Stegostoma tigrinum: one gene and its partners. The protein of the gene in region 2 interacts with the protein of the main gene of each other region in a pairwise test. Links are inferred from orthologs where the notes say so. Each region holds a gene or a part of one and is shown on either strand. Other genes may lie near its edges.

Evidence for each region. The genes of interacting proteins can lie anywhere in the genome.
Region 1: the proteins of mcm10 (region 2) and trim37 interact in a two-hybrid assay, tested with the Homo sapiens proteins (2 studies listed by BioGRID and IntAct). The link is inferred for Stegostoma tigrinum from reciprocal best matches to the Homo sapiens genes MCM10 and TRIM37.
Region 3: the proteins of mcm10 (region 2) and cep72 interact in a two-hybrid assay, tested with the Homo sapiens proteins (2 studies listed by BioGRID and IntAct). The two-hybrid records come from large-scale screens. The link is inferred for Stegostoma tigrinum from reciprocal best matches to the Homo sapiens genes MCM10 and CEP72.

The regions. Positions count from the first base shown.
Region 1 is NC_081380.1:41,718,631-41,726,131, reverse strand, and holds the start of trim37 (E3 ubiquitin-protein ligase TRIM37), read right to left. Parts: upstream 3,011-7,501; 5' UTR 2,931-3,010; coding exon 2,912-2,930; intron 1-2,911. UniProt on the Homo sapiens protein: E3 ubiquitin-protein ligase required to prevent centriole reduplication. Probably acts by ubiquitinating positive regulators of centriole reduplication.
Region 2 is NC_081378.1:4,828,608-4,835,744, forward strand, and holds the start of mcm10 (protein MCM10 homolog), read right to left. Parts: upstream 3,023-7,137; 5' UTR 2,962-3,022; intron 1,714-2,961; exon of another isoform or gene 1,377-1,713; intron 1,068-1,376; exon of another isoform or gene 1,047-1,067; intron 1-1,046. UniProt on the Homo sapiens protein: Acts as a replication initiation factor that brings together the MCM2-7 helicase and the DNA polymerase alpha/primase complex in order to initiate DNA replication. Additionally, plays a role in preventing DNA damage during replication.
Region 3 is NC_081355.1:19,602,287-19,609,599, reverse strand, and holds the start of cep72 (centrosomal protein of 72 kDa), read right to left. Parts: upstream 3,011-7,313; 5' UTR 2,908-3,010; intron 1-2,907. UniProt on the Homo sapiens protein: Involved in the recruitment of key centrosomal proteins to the centrosome.

The sequences.
Region 1 (7,501 bases), on a different chromosome or scaffold from region 2:
ATGAGCAATAAATGCTACCTTTGGCAACAAGATTATAAAATGATAAAAACAGTAAAATTTTATAATTCACAAGTTACATTTCAGCTAAAATTCTCTGATTCTGAACTGCACACCCACAGGTAGGATGCCAAGGTCTTGGATAAAATACAAAGATTTATTAGAATAGTACCAACAATAAGACTTCAATTACATAGAGTCTGGAAAAGCTGTTGTCAATATTAGAACCGAGGTTAAGGGGAGATTTGATGGAAGTTTTCAAAACTTCAAGAAGCATTAACAGTTTCTCTTTATTTACAGTACTGGAAGTCAGGCTGAAGATAACTGGTCAAAGAAGATGAAAAGAGACACATTAAACTAATATGAAATTCAATGCTGGAATGAATGGTATCAGGAAATTCAATTACAGCTTTCCAAAGGAAATGGTTTATATACTCAAAAAGGAGAATTACAGAGCTGTTATAAAAAAGCAGGCAGAGACTAACTGGAGCTACTTTCAGAGAGCTGGCAAAAACATACTGTACAATTCTATGTGTACAGCTGGATGAACACAGCAGGCCAAGCGGCATCAGAGGAGCAGGAAGGCTAACATTTCGAACCGAGACCCTTCTTCAGAAATGGGAGAGGGGAAGGGGTTTCTGAAATAAATAGGGAGAGAGGGGGAGGCGGACAGAAGATGGACAGAAGAGAAGATAGGTGGAGAGGACACAGACAGGTCAAAGAGGCGGGGATGGTGCCAGTAAAGGTGAGTGTAGGTGGGGAGGTAGGGAGGAGATAGGTCAGTCCAGGGAGGACGGGCAGGTCAAGGGGGCGGGATGAGGTTAGTAGGTAGGAGATGGGGGTGGGGCTTGATGTGGGAGGAGGGGATGGGGGGGGAGGGACAGGTTAGGGAGGTGGGGATGAGCTGGGCTGGTTTTGGGATGCAGTGGAGAGAGGGGAGATTTTGAAGCTTGTGAAGTCCACATTGATAACATTGGGCTGCAGGGTTCCCAAGCAGAATATGAGGTGCTGTTCCTGCAACCTTCGGGTAGCAATGTTGTGGCACTGCAGGAGGCCCAGGATAGACATGTCGTCTGAGGAATGGGAGGGGGAGTTGAAATGGTTCACGACTGGGAGGTGCAGTTCTTTATTGCGAACTGAGCATAGGTGTTCTGCAAAGTGGTCCCCAAGCCTCTGCTTGGTTTCCCCGATGTAGAGGAGGCCACAACGGGAACAGCGGATGCAGTATAGCACATTAGCAGATGTGCAGGTGAACATCTGCTTGATGTGGAAGGTCTTCTTGGGGCCTGGGGTGGGGGTGGGGAAGGTATAGCACTTCCTGCGGTTGCACGGAAAAGTGTCAGGTGTAATGGGGCTGGAGGGGAGTGTGGAGCAGACAAGGGAGTCATGGAGAGAATTGTCCCTCCTAAAAGTAGAAAAGGGTGGGGAGGGAAAAATGTCTGGTGGTGGGGTCAGATTGCAGATAGCGGAAATGTCAGAGGATGATGCGTTGGATCCAGAGGTTGGTGGAGTGGTACGTGAGGACAAGGGGGATTCTGGTTTGGTTGTTATTGCAGCGACGGGGTGTGAGAGATGAGTTGCGGGAAATGCGGGAGGCATGGTCAAGGGCGTTCTCAACCACTGAAGGGGGGGAAAAATAGCAGTCCTTGAAAAACAAGGACATCTGAGATGTATGGGAGTGGAACGCCTCACCCTGGGAGCAGATGCGGTGGAGGCAAAGGAATTGGGAATAGGGATGGCATTTTTGCAGGAAGGTGGGTGGGAGGAGGTGTATTCTAGGCAGCTGTGAGAGTCAGTGGGCTTGAAACAGATATCAGTTTCTCGGTGGTTGCCAGAGATGGAGACAGAGAGGTCCAGGAAGGAGAGAGGTATTAGAGATTGCCCAGGTGAATTTAAGGTTGGGGTGGCAGGTGACAGCAAAGTGGATGAACTGTTTGAGCTTCTGGTGGGAGCACAAGGCGGCACCAATACAGTCATCAATGTAACAGAGGAAGAGGTGGGGTTTAGCGCCAGTGTAGATCTGTCCGATGAAGGGTCTAGGCCTGAAACATCAGCTTTTGTGCTCCTAAGATGCTGCTTGGCCTGCTGTGTTCATCCAGATCCACACTTTGTTATCTTAGATATGGAAGAGGGTTTGTTCCACGTAATCTACCAAGAGGCAGGCATAGCTTGGGCCCAGTGGGTAACCATGGCCACACCCTTTGTCTGTAGGAAGTGGGAGGAATTGAAGTCGTTGAAGGTGAGGACAAGTTCGGCGAAGCAGATGAGGGCGTTAATGGAGGGCGACTGGTCGGGCCCACGGGACAGGAAGAAGCGGAGGTCCTTTAGGCTATCTATATGGGGCATGCAGGTGTAAAGGGTCTGGACGTCCATATTAAAGATGAGGTGTTGGGGGCCAGGGAATTGGAAGTTCTGGAGGACGTGGGTGGTGTCACGGGCATAGGTAGGGAGTTCCTGGACCAAGGGGAGAAAATGGAGTCGAGATGGGTGGAGATGTGTTCGGTGGGGCAGGAGCAGGTGGAGACAATGGGTCCCCCTACCGCATCCAAAAACCAGCCCAGCTTGTCCCCGCCTCTCAAGCCCCATCTCCTACCTATTAACCTCATCCCACCCCCTCGACCTGGCTGTTCTCCCTGGGCTGACACATCTACTCGCCACCTACACTCACCTTTACTGGCTCCATCCCCACCTCTTTGACCTGTTTTCTCTCCATTCATCTTCTATCTGCCTCTCCCTATTTATTTCAGAACCCCCTCCCCCATTTCTGAAGAAAGGTCTAGGCCCAAAACATCAGCCTTGCTGCTTCTCTGATGCTGCTTGTCCTGCTGTGTTCATCCAGCTCTACAACTTGTTATCTCAGATTCTCCAGCATCTGCAGTTCCTACTATCTCTGTACATTTCTATGCTTACTCACGTATTTGCAGACAACCCATTTCCCAGGCACACTGGGTGCACTAGTGGATTCATCACTAATTCCCGAATTAATGCAAGGCTGAGTGCAGACAGTACGGGCTGGGTAGGTACAAAGCACAACTGAATGCTCTTGTTTCTGTTTTGGCAACACAATCCTTCCTGAGCAGGAAAGAACAATGCAATGAAAATTGATTACTAACACTGAAACCGGTTTACACTGGAAATAAAAAGAAATGGAATTCCACATTCCTCGGCTATTCGACAATTATAGAAAACAATTAAACATACAGTTGAACTCACAGGCAGTCGTCCCATTCAGGGTAAAACGCAATAACGATGCTGCTGGCCCCTGGTCGGCGTCACTGCGGCTCTTCCTGCTCCTGCGAAGAGTAATGTTATCCGTAAGGCCTGTGTATGAGTGTAGGGGGATGTATGCAGGCCTCTGTGTTTGTCGATCTGCGGCCTACAGTGGGTGCACAGTGAAACCACTGACCGGCTGCGGTACATCTGACGGCAGATCCGGTCGCTCCTGACTGTCGCCCCTCACCACTTTTCAATTTTTTTGCTGTTTATTTTTCCTCTGCATCTCTGTCACATTATTTTCTTCTTCACGCTAGACTAGATTATTCATTCACCGATCGCTGTTTTGTTTCTTTTGCGCCTCATGTTTTTTTTTCCATCCCCCTCCCCCAACTCCGCGCCTCTTCAAATCGGCAGGCGACCGTTTGGTCACCCGGGAGACGAGGCAACCAATCGGGAAGCGGGCAGCTCGAATCCCGCCCCCCCACCACAGTGTGGTCACGCCCACTTCCGGTTACAACGTGTGGGGCGCTGCGGGGGACACGGCCCAATCAGCCATCAGGCCCGCTTTTTCGAGTTGACCAATCACAACGTGTTGCTGTTTAGAACGCATCCTCTCCCCGTCCTTCCAGGCCAGAGGAGCTATCGCGATAATTTTAGGCCGTTTCCCATAGCTACGACAATTGATGTGTCCAAGGCTACTAGCGGACGGGAAGGAATACAGTCCCTAACGACGAAGCGCGTGCAGCCCAGCTGGTGAAAGTTATACTGAGACTCAAGATAATAAAATGTGAGGCTGGGTGAACACAGCAGGCCAAGCAGCATCTCAGGAGCACAAAAGCTGACGTTTCGGGCCTAGACCCTTCATCAGAGAGGGGGATGGGGAGAGGGAACTGGAATAAATAGGGAGAGAGGGGGAGGCGGACCGAAGATGGAGAGTAAAGAAGATAGGTGGAGAGGGTGTAGGTGGGGAGGTAGGGAGGGGATAGGTCAGTCCAGGGAAGACGGACAGGTCAAGGAGGTGGGATGAGGTTAGTAGGCAGGAAATGGAGGTGCGGCTTGGGGTGGGAGGAAGGGATGGGTGAGAGGAAGAACAGGTTAGGGAGGCAGAGACAGGTTGGACTGGTTTTGGGATGCAGTGGAGGGAGAGGGGAAGAGCTGGGCTGGTTGTGTGATGCAGTGGGGGGAGGTGACGAACTGGGCTGGTTTTGGGTGCAGTGGGGGAAGGGGAGATTTTGAAACTGGTGAAATCCACATTGATACCAGAGATAATGGGAACTGCAGATGCTGGAGAATTCCAAGATAATAAAATGTGAGGCTGGATGAACACAGCAGGCCAAGCAGCATCTCAGGAGCACAAAAGCTGACGTTTCGGGCCTGGACCCTTCATCAGAGAGGGCTCCTGAGATGCTGCTTGGCCTGCTGTGTTCATCCAGCCTCACATTTTATTATCTTGGAATTCTCCAGCATCTGCAGTTCCCATTATCTCTGATACTGAGACTCAATCCGCTTTGTTACAGGAACTAAATTTCACAAAGACTTAATTTAAAAGGAGGATTTACATTTCCTTAAGCTTACGAAGAGGGTGATGTGTTTTCCTTTTTCCTCCCAGAGAGTCATACTTAAAAGCCAAATGTTTTGTCTCTCCTTTTCCACAGATGCTGCTGAGTTTCTCCAGTATTTTTTTCATGTCCGGTTGTAAATCCATTTCATTACGTTATAATAAAAACAAGGTACTGGCGGATGCTGGAAATCTTAAATAGTTTTAATTCATTCTATGAATAAGTAGTTTCAGAATAAGCGTTCCGATGTAGTCAATATCGGGCTGGAAACGTTACCTCCCTTTTTTTCTCACCACAAATACTTTCAGACCTGCTGAGATTGGCGTTTTTCGTTTTTATTTCAGATCGCCAGCATCCGCCGTATTTTGCTTGTAACCAGTGTTCAGTTGCCAACAGCAATTAATGCGGAGATTCATTACAGAACATTACGACGAGGATGCTGCATATACCTTGGCACACCTGAGTTTTTCAGAGCCTGTTGATGAATACGCTTAGAACCACAATCACTGTAGTAAATCTCCTGACAGAAGGTTAAAACAGATCACAAATCCAAGCGACAAAGGCATTTGGCGGTACTTGTCGTGTATTTCTGCGTCCTATAGACTGGGCAGGCCAAATTCAAGCCCTGTGAGCATGAGCTGTTCTGGAAACAGGCTCTACAATCATCATTGCCTATTTCTCTTTTGTGTCATAATTGTCAGTCAGGTGAGATACCAGAGGTGTGCAGGTACCTGTGTGCATGAATCAGTGCCTTTAGGATAAGAATGAATCAAATGGCAGACAATGGAAAGATTTTAAAAGCTGAAAAATCCTCACTTAAACTTTCCCGAAAACACCAACCTTTTAAATGACCTGCCTCAACAACTTTCTCTGTCAGCCCATTCCATATACACACCACTCTCTGCCCCTCAGGTCCTTCTCAAATCTTTTCCTCTCTCACCTTAAACCTATGCTCTCCAGTTTTCAATTCCTCATCCCTGGGAAAGAGACTACATGCATTCATCCTATCTGTGCCCCTCATGATTTTATATATCTTGATAAGATCACCTGTCATTCTCCGATGTTCCAAGGCCTATCCTGGCCAACTTCTCCCTATCTCTGAGGCCTACTATGGGCGGCATGGTGGCTCAGTGGTTAACACTGCTGCCTCACAGCACCAGTGACCAGGGTTCAACTCCACCCTCGAGTAACTGTCTGTGTGGAGTTTGCACATTCTCCCAGTGTCTGCATGGGTTTCCTCTAGGTGCTCCAGTTTCCTTCCACTGTCCAAAGATGTGTAGAGTAGTTAGACTGGCCAGGCAAAATTCAGGGATGTGTAGATTAGGTGGGTTATAGGGGTGTGGGTCAGGATGGGAGGCTCTGCGGGTTGGTGTGGACTTGTTGAGCCACAGGGCCTGTTTCCACACTAGGTAATTTTATGATTCTATTGTTTCATTACATTCAGAATGATCTGGGGAATGGAAGGTACCTTGTAAATGCAGGCTTCTTCAATCATTTATGTGACAAAAAAAATTGTAGTTTATAAATCATTCAGATCAATCCAAAATTTACTTCAGGTTGCGGTGGCCGAGATATAAAACGTGTGCAGGGCATAAAAGTCCATTGAACTAGAGTTAGTCAAAAATCTTGACACGTATATGCCAGTGGCTTCTCCTGGTGATCGGTGGCAGCAGCAGCTGCAACAAAGCTGATCGGTGGAGCATGTTTCCGGAGGAGACAAGAAAAACTGCAGATGCTGGAATGCAAGGCAGACAGACAGGAGGCTGGAAGAACACAGTAAGCAGGGCAGCATCTACAGGAAAGGCACAGTCAATGTTTCGGGTATTACCCTTACCTCAAGAGTAATACCTGAAACGTCAACTGCTGCTTTCCTCCAAATACTGCCTGGCTTACTGCGTTCTTCTTTCTTCCAGTTTGTCTACCATGTCTCCACAGGAGGTTGACACAGTCTCCAGGCCAGGCCAGGGCTAGGTACAGGAAGATAACACTTTTAAGATCTGGATGTTTTCCTTTTCTTTTATTCTTTCGCTTTTTAAAAAAAATTCTGCTTTTGTATTTTAAGATAGCAACTTTGTAAACTTTCCACTGTACTCCTATATTCCTGTGCTTGATAAAATCTAACTCTAACAATGGTTTGGTGTTAAGGCCTGATCAGAAACTATTCCGATCAAGTTTATTGTTTAAGTTTTAACTGTGAACAAAGGTGAACTTGCGAACTTGTTGAATGAAAGTGATTGCTGTTGCAGCCAGAGATTGGTGTTCACACTTTTACCTAGTTAAGCGCCATAAATTACTTATATTATAATTTCCTGACCTTCAAAAGACATTTAAAAATAAAAGCTGAACTTCAGTGGAAATCTGCCCTCTGTCAGCCCAGAAGAATTGTACATATTTTGTAATACCAATAAATTGCAGGAGGAGTGGGTTTCAGCATTAAATTTCCTATTAACCTGCCTGTTTCCCCGAGAGCCTCTGCAGAGTGAATCATCCACAACACTTCCCATCAGAGACTTGATTTCAAAGTTATTGGAACTGACTTCTATTGTTTTGAAAATATTTATGCATTAAATCTACTGTTGAACTTCTAATTTCTTGTTGTGTGCTTCTACTTATATGTAGTTAATCTGTTTGAATTATTAGCTAAAATTACTCATTTAGCTCGAACACAGCCATTTGGCAATGTGGAATAAAACATGGAAATACTGGATGGGTCAGGCAGTTTTTGTGCA
Region 2 (7,137 bases):
GACTGTCAACCCTATCCAAGCACGTCATAATTTTATAGACTTCTATCAAGTCTCCTAACAGCCTCTGCTACTCCAGAAAAAACCCTAGGCTTTCTAGCCTCTCCTTATAGCTCATATCCTCTAATGTAGGCAGCATCCTGGTAAAGTGATAATGGGAACTGCAGATGCTGGAGAATCCAAGATAATAAAATGTGAGGCTGGATGAACACAGCAGGCCCAGCAGCATTTCAGGAGCACATAAGCTGACGTTTTGGGCCTAGACCCTTCATCAGAGACGCTCTGATGAAGGGTCTAGGCCCGAAACGTCAGCTTTTGTGCTCCTGAGATGCTGCTGGGCCTGCTGTGTTCATCCAGCCTCACATTTTATTATCTAGCATCCTGGTAAACCTCTTTTGTGCCCGTTCCAAATCCTCCAAATCCTTCCTGTAATGTGGCAACCAGAATTGAACGCAATACTCTAAGCGCAGCCTAGCTAACGTGTTTATAAAGCTGCTATCACTTCCTGACCCTTGTACCTCAATGCCCCAACCAATAAAGGCAAGCATTTCATGTGCCTCCTTTACCACCCTATTCTCTCCAATAGCTTTCCAAACACTGATGTGAAACTCACTGGTCTGTAATTTCCTGGATTATTCCTATTTCTTTTCCGGAAAAGCGGAATAATATTAGCTACTTGCCAGTCCTCTAGGACCTCTCCAGTGGCTAGCGAGGATATAAAGATCTTAGTCAAGGCCCCAGCAATCTCCTTTCTTGCCTCTCTCAATAACCTGGGGTAGATCCCATCAGGTCCTGGGGACTTAACCAACTTAATCTTCTTCACAGACCCAACACCACTTCTTTCTTGATTTCAAAATGCCCTAGTATATTAGCATGCTCCACACTAGTCTCATTATACTCCATATCCTTCGCCTGGGTGAATACCAATGCAACGTACTCATTTAGGACCTCATCCACAACCTCTGCCTCCAACCATAAGTTCCTTCCTTTATCCTGGTCCTATCCTCTCCCTGGTTATCCCCTTATTTTTTAATGTGTGCATAGAATACCTTGGGAATCTCTTTTATCCTACTTGTTGAGGTCATTTCATGGTTCCTCCTTGCTCTTCTAAATCCCTGTCTGAGATATTTCCTGCTTTCTTCATATTTTGGCTTCATAATCCTTACATATGCTTCTCGCCAACTTTTAGGTACATTTAAGTCGTCATTGGACAAGCGTATGGATGTACATGGAATAGTGTAGGTTAGATGGGCTTGAGATCGGTATGACAGGTCGGCACAACATCGAGGGCCGAAGGGCCTGTACTGTGCTGTAATGTTCTATGTTCTTTCCTTTTTGACTAAATTCACAACTTCCCTCATTATCCAGGGATTCCTTACCTTGCCATCCTTTTCCTTCTTCCTTATGAGGAACATAATCTGCTCAGTGGATCTTGAAACAACTCCCACATAAGAAATGTAGACTTGCCTGGTAACAGTTCCTCCTAATGCACTCTCCCTAGTTTCTGCCTAATACTAACGTAATTTTCCATCCTCCAGTTTAGTAGGTCCTAACTTATTCATGCCGATCTTAAAACATAAGGGGTCGTGATCAATGTTTCCCACTGAAAGGTCATTCATTTGGCCAGGCTCATTAGCTAATACAAGGTCCAGAATGGACCTCCTCTAGTTGGACGTCCATATATTATTTCAAGAAGTTTTCTTTGATGTACCTAACAAATTCAGCTCCATCTAAATCTCTTCCTCTAAGACAGTTGCAGTCAATCCTGGAGAAGTTAAAGTCATCCACTATGACAACTCTGCATCTTTCCCTAATCTGCCTATATGTCTACTGCTCAGTGTCTCGGTGGCTGGGGTTTATAGTATAATCCTATCAGAGTGATCGCACCTGTCTCAGAATCCCTACAGCACGGAAGCAGGCCATTTGACCCAATGGGTCCATCCTGATCCTCCGGAGAGCATTCCATGTAGACCAAACTCCGATAAAGTGGAATCAAGGGTTATGGGGATAAGGCAGGAACAGGATACTGATTGTGGATGATCAGCCATGATCATAATGAATGGTGGTGCTGGCTCAAAGGACCGAATAGCCTACTCCAGCACCTATTGTCTATACCTATCCCTGTAACCCTGCATGTCCCATGGCTAGCCCATCTATCCTGCAGGGATAATAGGAACTGCAGATGGAGAATCCGAGATAATAAGGTGTAGAGAGTTAGGCCCGAAACGTCAGCTTTCCTGCTCGGCCTGCTGTGTTCATCCAGCTCCACACCTTGTTATCTAGCCTGCACATCCCTGAACACTATAGGGCAATTTCCCACGGGTAATCCACCTACCTTGCACATCTTTGGACTGTGGGAGGGAACCGGAGTACCCAGAGGAAACCCATGCAGACACGGGGAGAATTTGCAAACTCCGCACAGACAGTCTCCCGAGGGTGGGATCAAACCTGGGTCCCTGGTGCTGAGAGACAGCAGTACTAACCACTGAGCCACGGTGCACACCTAAGGCCTCCAGTATGCCCTCTCGAGCGTAACTATGAGATTCTCCCTCATTAGTAACACAACTCCTCCACCTTCCTGATTATCTGGTCAAAAACAGCAAAACCCTGTAATGAGAAGCAGCCAGTCCCGTCCCCCCTCTCAGACAAGTCTCTGTAATGGCCACCAGCCCAGCTTTAGTGGGGCATTTACAATGGTGAAACATTGTAGAATGACAGCAAGGGGCACGCCAGGCCCTAGCAGCACCAGCACCGCCCTCACCCCCGCTCTGTCCCTGAGGAGACTGCCAGGCGGTTCCCGCACGGTGGAGAATCCCCTCCCCTCCCCTCCCCGGGCGAGCCCAGTGGGTGTCTGCTGTCTCTCTGTATGCCCCGGTTCATCGCCGGTGTTTATGACAAACACTATCCCTTTCTATTAAACCTATAACAGCCCCTCACTCCCTACCCAGGGGCCGCCACTTTTACCTCAGGCTCCAGCTCCCGGTTTCCGCTTGTTCCGCGTTCGCGCCAAAACCTTAAACAGCGTCACCCACTGACGTCATCACGCTGCAACTCCCACCCCCTCCCAGACCCGCCTCAGGAGGGGCTCGACCACCCGGGGACTGGATCACCGAGCGCGGGGATCACCCGGGGGGGCTGGATCACCGAGCGCGGGGATCACCCGGGGGGCTGGATCGCCGAGCGGGGGGGGGGTCACCCAGGGGACTGGATCGCCGAGAGCAGGGATCACTCGGGGACTGGAACACTGACAACGCGGACCACCCGGGGACTGGATCACCGAGACAGCAGATCATCCAGGGACTGAATAGAGCATTACAGCACAGTACAGGCCCTTCGGCCCTCGATGTTGTGCCGACCTGTCATACTGATCTCAGGCCCATCTAACCTACACTATTCCATGTACGTCCATATGCTTATCCAATGACAACTTAAATGTACCTAAAGTTGGCAAATCTACTACTGTTGCAGGCAAAGCGTTCCATTCCCTTACCACTCTCTGAGTAAAGAAACTACCTCTGACATCTGTCTTATATCTTTCACCCCTCAATTTAAAGCTATGCCCCCTCGAGCTCACTGTCACCATCCTAGGAAAAAGGCTCTCCCTATCCACCCTATCTAACCCTCTGATTCAATGTTTCAATTTAGTTACCTCTCAACCTTCTTTCTAACGAAAACAGCCTCTCCTTGTAAGACGCTCCCTCCATACCAGGCAACATCCTGGTAAATCTCCTCTGCACCCTTTCCAAAGCTTCAACATCCTTCTTTTAATGCGGTGACCAGAACTGTACGCAATACTCCAAGTGCGGCCGCACCAGAGTTTTCATCAGAGAGCTCAGATCACCCAGGTATTGGAATGCTGACAGCACAGATCGCCTAGTGAGTGGATCACTGAAAGAGCAGATTGCCTGGGGTTTGGATCACAGAGACAGTGGGTTGCATGGTGGGTGGATCCACCAATTGAGCAGATTGCTCTGGGGAGTGGAAGCATCGCAAGAGCAGATCACTAAGTGGATCACCCACGGACTGGATCAGAGAGATCAGTTCTCCCAGCGATTGGATTTACCAAGAGACTGGGTCTCCAAGAGTGTGAAACGTTGTGGATCGGTTACCTGATGAGTAGATCAGCCAAGTGAGCAGGTTAACCAGGAATTCGATGGGCTGAAAGTTGACTAGAGAGAGTAAATAGCCTAGGACAGCAGATCAACTTTGGACCAGAACATAAGGAGAGTAGATGACCCAAGCAACAGCATCACCTAGGGACTCGATCACACGAGGCCTATGTTCCGGAGGAGGAAGTGGCTTATCGGGGAGTGAATCGTCAGGAGACTGGGGAAAGCAAATAATCCGTATACTGGATCACCAGGAACATGTTAGACCCTGACTGGATCATCCAGACACAGGATCACTTGGGGCATGGATCAGTCTGGGTTTTGTTTGGACACGGCATCACTAGGGAGTGGATCACATGGGCAGTGGAATGCCTGGAGACTGGATCACCAGGAGAGTGGGTGAATTGTCACCTGATCACCTAGGTTCTCAAACCAGCAGAGTGCAGGTCATTGAGAGTGGATCACACTTTGTTTGAAAACGACATGACATATACTCAAATTACATAATGGAACAGAGGCAGATGATCATACAGAATGGTCACAGAGACGGGTTCAAAGAATAATAGGAACAAAGATATTGGTCCAGAAATTGCAATCAAATTCTGCAAACTACTTGCAACTTCCCGTCCAAACCAGTGACCACATTGACTTGGAAATATATTGTCGATCCTTCAGATCAAAATTCTATGACACCCTCCCTAAGGGCATTGTGGGTCTATCTTCAGCATGTGGATCGCAGTTCACGATGGCAGCTCACCTCCACCTTCTCAAGGAGCAAGTACAAATGGGCAATAGATACTGGCCCAGCCAGCAAGGCTCAGATCCCAGAAGTGAATTTTAAAAATTCAGTATCCCTATTATCGACCTTGATCAGATTAAAAAAAATACAATATAGATTCTAGTCTGCAAATTCCCATACAGGACACTTCTGGTTTCAAAACAATGGAACTCTGATCATTAATGCTTGGAGCCAGCAGAGAGGATTGTTATCAAAACCATGCTCCATTTTCCAATATTCAGTGTTCTGTGACTTAAAACAAACAGCAGCATAGCCAATGCTGTGAATGAGTGAGCACGTAAGCTAAAGGTGGAGAAAGAGAACAGCTACATGGGTCAGGGTTGGGGAGAGGGGAAGAGGAGTTTGGTAAGGTATAGGGTTGGCGGGGGGGGGGGGGGGGCAGCAGGGTAAGGATGGGTAGGATTTCAGGTAACTGGGTGTGTGGAAGGTTTGGGTGAATGGGTCTTGTAGGGAGTGGGACGGAGTTGGACCGAGGGGGATTGTCACGCGGGCCTAGCAGTCAGGCCTGATTTATTTCTGGAGATGAATGGCATCAAGAGATCAGGGAAAGTGGGACTGAGGTGGATTATCAACCATGATTTAACTAAATTATGTAGCATGCTGAATGGCCTCTTGCTATTTGTGATCATATGGAGTAGATCTCACAGATTAGATCATGAGAGACAAGATAGCAGACTGAATCGCAAGGATCATAAACTGGATCATGCTAAATCACAGACACTGGGCCATGTGTGATCATATGGACTGGATCAGAGACTGAATCACAGTAAATCCCAAAATTAATTGTAAAGGATCCCAGACTTGATTTATTAGAGTGGAAGACATAGATCATATAAAGTGGATCCACAACACAGCACAGAAATTTAAACATCAAATCACAGGCTTGCTGTTGCAACTTCTGTCTGTCCTCTTAGCAGTTTAGTTACAGGCACTGAACAGAGATATACTGCATATACAATTAATTGCACCTTCCCTGATGCATGAGCAAAATACCTACACAATTAAGTAGCAAGTGATTGCAATTTGAATAAAAAGTTGACTTTTATACAATATCTTTCTTGACCACAAGACCTTCCTAAAAGACTTACAGCATACAAAGTACTTTTCAAGTGTAGTCACTGTTGCAGGAAACGTAGCTAATTTGCACAAAGAAAGCTCACACAAATAATATGATGAGCAGATCATGTATTTTGACAAAAATAATTGAGTACTTTGGAATTCTTCTTAGTTTAACACAAATTTCTAAATCTGCCACCAAATGTTAGGGAGGAGGAAAATGTTGGATAGTCAGTTTGAGGGGCACTGTCACAAATTTCAGGATACAAATTTGCAGAATAGATATAACTGGAAAATTGGAATTGCTGTGTGCAAAAATTACAAATATTAGAACCTGGCAAGAAAAGTAAGCAGATTGGTTATTGCCTAAAGAACAAGAATCTGAATTGGGTTGATGAGCACGGGGAAGAACAAGTACACAAGTCGCTATAACTGGTAACATAGGACAACAAAGTCATAGGCAAAAAACAAACCAAGCACCAGGATTTATGTATTGAGGGAAGCAACGCACCACAGATGCTAGACATTTGAGACACAACATAAAGGCTGGAGAAACTGAGCAGGAAGCATCTGCGTAGAAAGAAAGAGTTAAAAGGAGCAAGACCAATTATTCCTCTTCGGAACTCTGGAGTGGTGTCCAATACTGGGCTTTCTATATAAAGACATAAAAACAGTGGAGAGGGACAAACCTGAGGGTGAGGAGTGGATGAACAGGCTGGCTAACATTTCTCTTGAGAGAAGCTAAAGAGAGCCCCCATGGAGGTCTTTAAATTATGAGAAGCATTCATAAAGTAGCTGTGAACAGCCTGTTTCTTCTTGAGGGAGAACCTGAGAGAACAGGGAAAACCTGGAGGTCAATACATGAACTTAAAAAGGGAGTCTAGAAGCAAAACTTATACTCTCAGATGTGAGAAGGTGAAACTAACTTCCACAGGGAGTAGCTGAAGTGAATAGTATAGAATTAGATAAGCATGAAGGACAAGGGGAGGATGAATGTTTATGGAATTTGGTGAAGACAGACAAGAGGAAGCTCAAATGGAACAACCAACCAGCAGAGACTAGTTGGGCCAAAGGACCTGTCTTTGTGTTGTCCTCCTAACAGTGACCATTTTGGGGCTGGCAGTGGCTTACTGGTATTATCATTGGACTGTTAATCCAGAGATCCAGGTGATATCC
Region 3 (7,313 bases), on a different chromosome or scaffold from region 2:
AAAGGGGTCATATTGTTACTGTAGATGACAAGAGGGTGAGAGAGGGAGAGAACACAGACATTAATATTTCAGGTAGAAAGAGAGTACAGGAATACAGAAAATATTACCCCAGCCAGAGAAAGAACACAATATTACTGTAGCTGAGAGAGCCGACAAACTGTATTGCTACTGGCAAAGGGAAATATTATAGTCAAGACTACAAAATGTAAAATATTTTTGAAGCTCAGAGTGGAAATAAGTATTAATTTTCATTAATTAATCAATTAATTTATGTGCTACTGATAGAATGAGAGGAGATTCATAGGCAATATCACCAGCAGTTTAATTGAGCTGAATGGCCCGTGCTGCATTTATTATGCCTTTCTAAATAAATAGCAGTAGCGCAGAAGAAGAAAAATAGAGAATGTGAATAAATAGCAATAATGGAGGAGAGAATAAATAAAGAACAAAGAGTAAATTCCATCCTTTTGTGTGTCACATTAAAATTAACTACATTATATAACCTCTACATTCAAAGGAACGTAAATCAAGTTTATGCAACAATTCTTCCTTAATGGTTTAAGCCCTAGAATCAACTATGACAATGTCCTTATATAGAAACTATAATGGAACAGGTATTTAACAGGGTTATAATTACACATCAGGCAAAACATGACACATGGGGAGGGCCAAAGACATAGATGCAAAGGAGATATTAGGAGAGGAGACAAAAGTTTTGTCAAACAGGTAAGTTTAAACAAGCAGAGAAAATTACAGTTGGTGGAATTAATTCCAGAGCTTAGGTGGATGAAGATATGGTTGCAAATGGTCAGACAAAAGGAGTAGGAGATGAACAAGAATTTACAAATGGAGGAGTGTTGTAATCTAAGGGGCCTGTCAGAGATAGAAGGGAGAGGGCACTGAAGGATTCAAATATAAGGGTGAGAATTTCAAAACGGGTGTTTCCATGCTGGGAATCAATGTAGATCAGCAAGCACAGGGTTGTTGGATAAACATTGTGTGTTAAGATACGGGTAGCAAAGTTTTCAATAAGTTTAAGCTTATGAAGGGTGGAAGGTCAGCCAGAAGAACACTGAATAGTGGAGTGTGGGAGTAACAAAAGTATGACTGGAGTTCCAGTAGCAAGTAGTCGACAGCAGGGGTGAAGAAAGATATAATGATGGAGGTGAAAGCAGACAGTCTTTACAATGATGAGCTCATGAATCAAAAACTCAGACCAATAGAAAACAGGAAGCTGAGGGCATAAACAACCTGTGCTCAACTGGATACAGTTGCTGGGGTGTAGAGGGAGTCAATGGCAACGCAACATGGCACATGGGGAGACCCAAGGACATGGGTTTTCCCCAGTGCCTCATTGATAAACAATTCTGGTGAACCTGATCTGTGCCTTCTCCAAAGCCAACACTGCTAGATTCACTGCTAGAAGTTCACTGTTTATATGTGATACTTTCGTAAGTGGAATCCTTCAGTGGAAATTAGCAGAAATTTAAATTTAGAAAATGAAATTCTGACTTTTTGTCAAATTATGGTGAACTGGAAGTATTAAATCACCAGCCACCATAGAAAGGTGACAGCACAGTTAAAGGTCATTCAGCTCATCATGTTTGTTTCTGATTGGTTAGTTACTAACATTGACATTCTCAAACACTGTATAGCCAGTTGCGTGGTGCCTCACCTTATTTTTTGTAGCAAAAGTTTGCCTTTAAAAAGTTGTTGCAGCAACTGTGGTAATGTTATTGTTCCATCACCTGTTAATATCACCACACTCGCTATTTATTTCAAATGAATAGTTTCTGGCATTTAAACTTACACGAGTGTTGATAAATTCATAACCAAACTCAAAATGTCCCAAATAAAAGCCAAAAAAACACTGCAGATACTATAAATCAGAAACAAAAAAAATGTTGCTGGAAAAGCTCAGCAAGTCTGGCAGCATCTGTGAAGAGAAATCAGACTATTCATTTTGGATCCAGTGACACTTCTTCAGAACTGATGATAGCTAGGAAATGTCAGTTTATATGCGGAAGATGGGGTGCAGGGGTGTGGTGTGGGTATGGAGTAAACAATATGTTGGGCTACAACCCAAAGAGAGAAGAACAGGTCAAACAGACAAAGGAGTGGATAACGAGCTGGCTAGGAGGTTGAATAGCTATGAAGGGACACTGTTAATAGCTAAACAATAGGTAGCGTGCAATGGCAAACAAATGATGAAGGGTCTAGGCCCGAAACGTCAGTTTTTGTGCTCCTGAGATGCTGCTTGGCCTGCTGTGTTCATCCAGCCTCACATTTCATTATCTTGGATTCTCCAGCATCTGCAGTTCCCATTATCTATGTGACAACAAGGCCTGACATGTGAGGTGGGGGTCTAGGACAGTGGAGAGTTCAGGCCTTTAAATTATTGAACTCCATATTGAGTCCAGAGGGCTGGAGGGTTCCCAAGCAGGAAATGAGGTGTTGTTCTTGTAGCTTGCACTGAGCTTCACTGGAACACTGCAGCAAGCCTGAGACAGAGATGGTGGCCAGGGGACAGGGTGGTGCGCTAAAGTGGCAGCCAACTGGATGCTCAGGGTCTATTTTTTGTGGGACAGAAGACGATGTTCTGAAAAGCAAAGCAGTCAAATGCTTCATTTCCCCAATGTAGAGGGGGAACCACATTGCGAGTAGTGAATACCGTAGACTAGCTTGTGAGAAGTGAAAAATATCCCGCGGGGTGGGGGGGGGGGGCGGTGTTCGAGGAAATGAGACGACTAAAAGTAAATGCAGAATAATTTTAAAATGAAAGGGACTGGTGTGTGAGTATATCATGTACAGAAACTGCAGGTGCCAGAATCCAGCAGTTCACTCCACTGGGCAAATGTAACGTATGAAATGCTTATGACTTTTCATCAGCGACACTAAAGTACTTACCCTGCTCTCAACATCGATCGCCAGCCTCAAGAAAGCTGCACTTTGTACCGAACCTGAGGCTCGGTTTCGTGGCATCAGATGGTTCTTGTTAACAGTTGCATCAGGGCGCTGAAAGATCCTGCAGGAAGCGGGAATCAAGATGACACCAGCTGAAAAGCTTGCAGGATCTGGGTGTGAACAACCCCCAGTGAACAGGCGTCAAAGAGCTGCCCAGCGGGGGCTCAACTGAACTACCCAACACCTTAAACACTGAGACTATCTTATTAACTTGCTCGGGGGCTCTTAATAATGATGGAGAGATTATAAATGTATAGAACGTGTTTGATCATCTGTTATCAGCCATTGGAGTGTATTTGAATGCACTGTTTTTACACGCAGCCCATTCATTGTGTTCAGCAAGCTCACGATAAAAATTAAAATATATTAAAAACTATTAAAGAAAGTTATAAAATAAAATGTGAATTGTTTGCTTTTCATAGTCACCAACCATGGTTTATACAAGCTGCGATAATTTAACGGTATTTCCGGAACCCCACATTTCTTTGTTTCATAATTACACCGTTGTTAGTGTGTGAGGTTAAATCCCTGGATTGTGTTCAGTGAAAGGGTTTACCCACAGATATTGTTCAAACTTGACACCTGATTAATGCTTCGCCGGCACTGCATCCTCAACGCAACGGATCCAGGAATTTTAATCAGGTATAGCCCATCACCCGAGTTTTAGCTTATACTCAATCCCCAAAATTTACAGTAACTGAAATTAAAGGGAAATGACAGAGGTATTCTTCCTGCCAAAAATGGAAAATCTCAATTCACCAAATCACGCTCTTGCACCATCAGGCACGACTGAGGAGAGCGCCTAAGGCCATTCGGTCCCTCGAGACTCGTCTATCATCAGTCATGCAGCGCGGAGGCAGACCTTGGGTTATGCCTAATATAATCCCAAACGAAAGCAGTCCCAATTGTCTGCTCCTGGCACATATCCCTCCAAACCTTTCCTATTCATGACCTTATCTAAGGGTCTTTTAAAGGCTGTAACTCCCACGTCCGCCACTTTCTGAGGAAGTTCACTCCACACGAACCACCCTCTATGTAAAAAAAATGCCGATGGTGTCTTTTTAAAATCTCTCTCCTCACGCCTTGAAAATATAGCTCCTAGAATTGAAATCTCCCATTCTAGTGAAAAGACATCTACCATTAATCCCTACCTATATCTCTCATGATTTTATACACTTCTATGAAGGTCACATCTCAACCTCCCACACTCCAGCAAAAACAGACTCAGCCTATCCAGCTTTTCTTTTTAACTCCAGCCTTCCATACCCGGCATCATCTTGGTAAATTTCTTCTGAACTCTCTCGAACTTGAAAATACCCTTCCTATAACTACAGCACACTGTACTTCAGGACAGGCCTCATCAATGTCCTGTGCAGCCTCCACATGACTTCCAAATTCCTACACCCAATGGACTGAGCAATGAAGACAAGTGTGCTAAATGCCTTTCTAGATACTGGTCTGCCTTCAAAGAACTATGTACATGAACCCCTTTGTCTTTCCGTTCCACAACATTACCCAAGGCCCTACCATTAATTGTATTAGTGCTGCCCCTATTTGTTGTACCAAAGTACAATACCTCACATTTATCCACATTGAACTGCATCTGTCATTTTTCAGCGCATTGACATATTTGATCAAGATCCCTCCGTAATCTTAGAAAAACTTCTTTACTCTTTGCTCTGCTGCAAATTTTGGTGTCATCCACAAACTTACTAATCATGCCTTCCAAATTCTCATCTGCATTGTTTATAGAAACGTCAAACAAAAGATCATGGCTACTCTGCTTGTAACCTCAAGTCCATAAGACATAGGAGTGGAAGTAAGGCCATTCGGCCCATCGAGTCACTCCGCTATTTAAATCATGGCTGATGGGCAATTATACGCCACTTCCCTGCACTCTCCCCGTAGCCCTTGATTCCTTGTGAGATCAAGAATTTATCGATCTCTGCCTTGAAGGTATCTAACATCCCAGCCTCCACTGCGCTTGGTGGCAATGAATTCCACAAGCCCACCACTCTCTGGCTGAAGAAATGTCTCCTCATTTCCGTTCTAAATTTACCCCCTCTAATTCTAAGGCTGTGCCCACGGGTCCTAGTCTCCCCACCTAACAGAAACAACTTCCTAACATCCACCCCTTCTAAGCCATACATTATCTTGTAAGTTTCTATTAGATCTCCCCTCAAGCTTCTAAACTCGAATGAATACAATCTCAAGTCCACTTTCCCCTCTCCTTCTTTGAGTCACTTGTCAATCAAGGTCTAATGTATCACAGGCCTTAAAAATGTTAAATGAATTAATCTGAATAGTTCCAGAGAAGTAGTGGAAAGGATAGCAAAGATGATTCTCGATAGGAGCGAGAGAGATAGGGTAGTTGTCATGGGGGACTTCAACTTTCCAAATATTGACTGGGAACATGATAGTTGGAATACTATAGATGAGTCAGTTTTTGTCCAGTGCATGCAGGAGGGATTCCTGACACAGTATGTAGACAGGCCAACAAGGGGCGAAGCCACATTAGATTTGGTACTGGGTAATGAGCCTGGCCAGGTGTAAGATTTGGAAGTGGGTGAGCACTTTGGTGATAGCGATCACAATTCTGTTATGTTTACTTTAGTGATGGAAAGGGATAGGTGTATACCACTGGGCAAGAGTTATAGCTGGGGGAAAGGCAATTACGATGAGATTAGGCAAGATTTAGGGAGCATAGGATGGGGAAGGAAACTGCAGGGGATGGGCACATTAGAAGTGTGGAGCTTATTCAAGGAAAAGCTCCTGTGTATCCTAGATAAGTATGTACCTGTCAGGCAGAGAGGAAGCTGTAGAGCACAGGCGCCGTGGTTTACGAAGGAGGTGGAATCTCTGGTCAAGAGGAAGAAGAAAGCTTATGATAGGATGAGATGTGAAGGCTCAGTTAGGGTGCTTGAGGGCTACGAGGTACTCAGGAAAGACCTAAAGAGGGAGCTCAGAAGAGCCAGGAGGAGACATGAGAAGTTGTTGGCAGATAGGATCAGGGTAAACCTTAAGGCTTTCTATAGGTATTTCAGGAATAAAAGAATGACGAGAGTAAGATTAGGGCCAATCAAGGATAGTGGTGGTAAGTTGTGTGTGGAGTCAGAAGAGATAGGGGAAGCACTAAATGAATATTTTTCAACAGTATTCACTCTAGAAAACGACAATGTTGTTGAGGAGAATACTGAGATACAGGCTACTAGACTAGGTGGGATTGAGGTTCACAAGGAAGAGGTATTAGAAATCTTACAGAGGATGAAGATAGATAAGTCACCTGGGCTGGATGGGATTTATCCTAGGATCCTCTGGGAAGCCAGGGAGGAGATTGCCGAGCCTTTGACATTGATCTTTAACTCGTCATTGTCTACAGGAATAGTGCCAGATGACTGGAGCATAGCAAATGTGGTTCCCCTGTTCAAGAAGGGGAGTAGAGACAACCCTGGTAATTATAGACCAATGAGCCTTACCTCAGTTGTCGGTAAAGTGTTGGAAAAGGTTATAAAGGATAGGATTAATAATCATCTAGAAAAGAATAAACGGATTAGGGATAGTCAGCACGGTTTGTGAAGGGAAGGTCGTGCCTCACAAACCTTATTGAGTTCTTTGAGAAGGTGACCAAAAAGGTAGATGAGAGTAAACCGGTTGATATGGTGTATATGGATTTCAGCAAGGCGTTCGATAAGGTTCCCCACAGTAGGCTATTGTACAAAATGCGGAGGAATGGAATTGTGGGAGAAATAGCAGTTTGGATTGGAAATTGCCTTGCTGAAAGAAGACAGAGGGTGGTAGTTGATGGGGAAATGTTCAACCTGGAGACCAGTTACTTGTGGTGTACCGCAAGGGTCGGTGTTGGGTCCACTGCTGTTTGTCATTTTTATAAATGACATGGATGAGGGCGTAGAAGGATGGGTTAGTAAATTTGCAGATGACACTAAGGTTGGTGAGGTTGTGGATAGTGACGAAGGATGCTGTAGGTTGCAGAGAGACAGAGATAAGCTGCAGAGCTGTGCTGAGAGGTGGCAAATGGAGTTTAATGCGGACAAGTGTGAGGTGATGTACTTTGGTAGGAGTAACCGGATCCAAAGTACTGGGCTAATGGGAAGATTATTGGTAGTGTAGAAGAGCAGAGATATCTCGGCGTCCAAGTACACAGATCCTTGAAAGTTGCCACCCAGGTTGACAGGGCTGTTAAGAAGGCATACAGTGTTTTAGCTTCTATTAATAGAGGGATCGAGTTCCGGAATCAAGAGGTTATGGTGAAGCTGTACAAAACTCTGGTGCGGCCGCACTTGGAGTATTGTGTACAGTTCTGGTCACTGCATTATAAGAAGGGTGTGGAA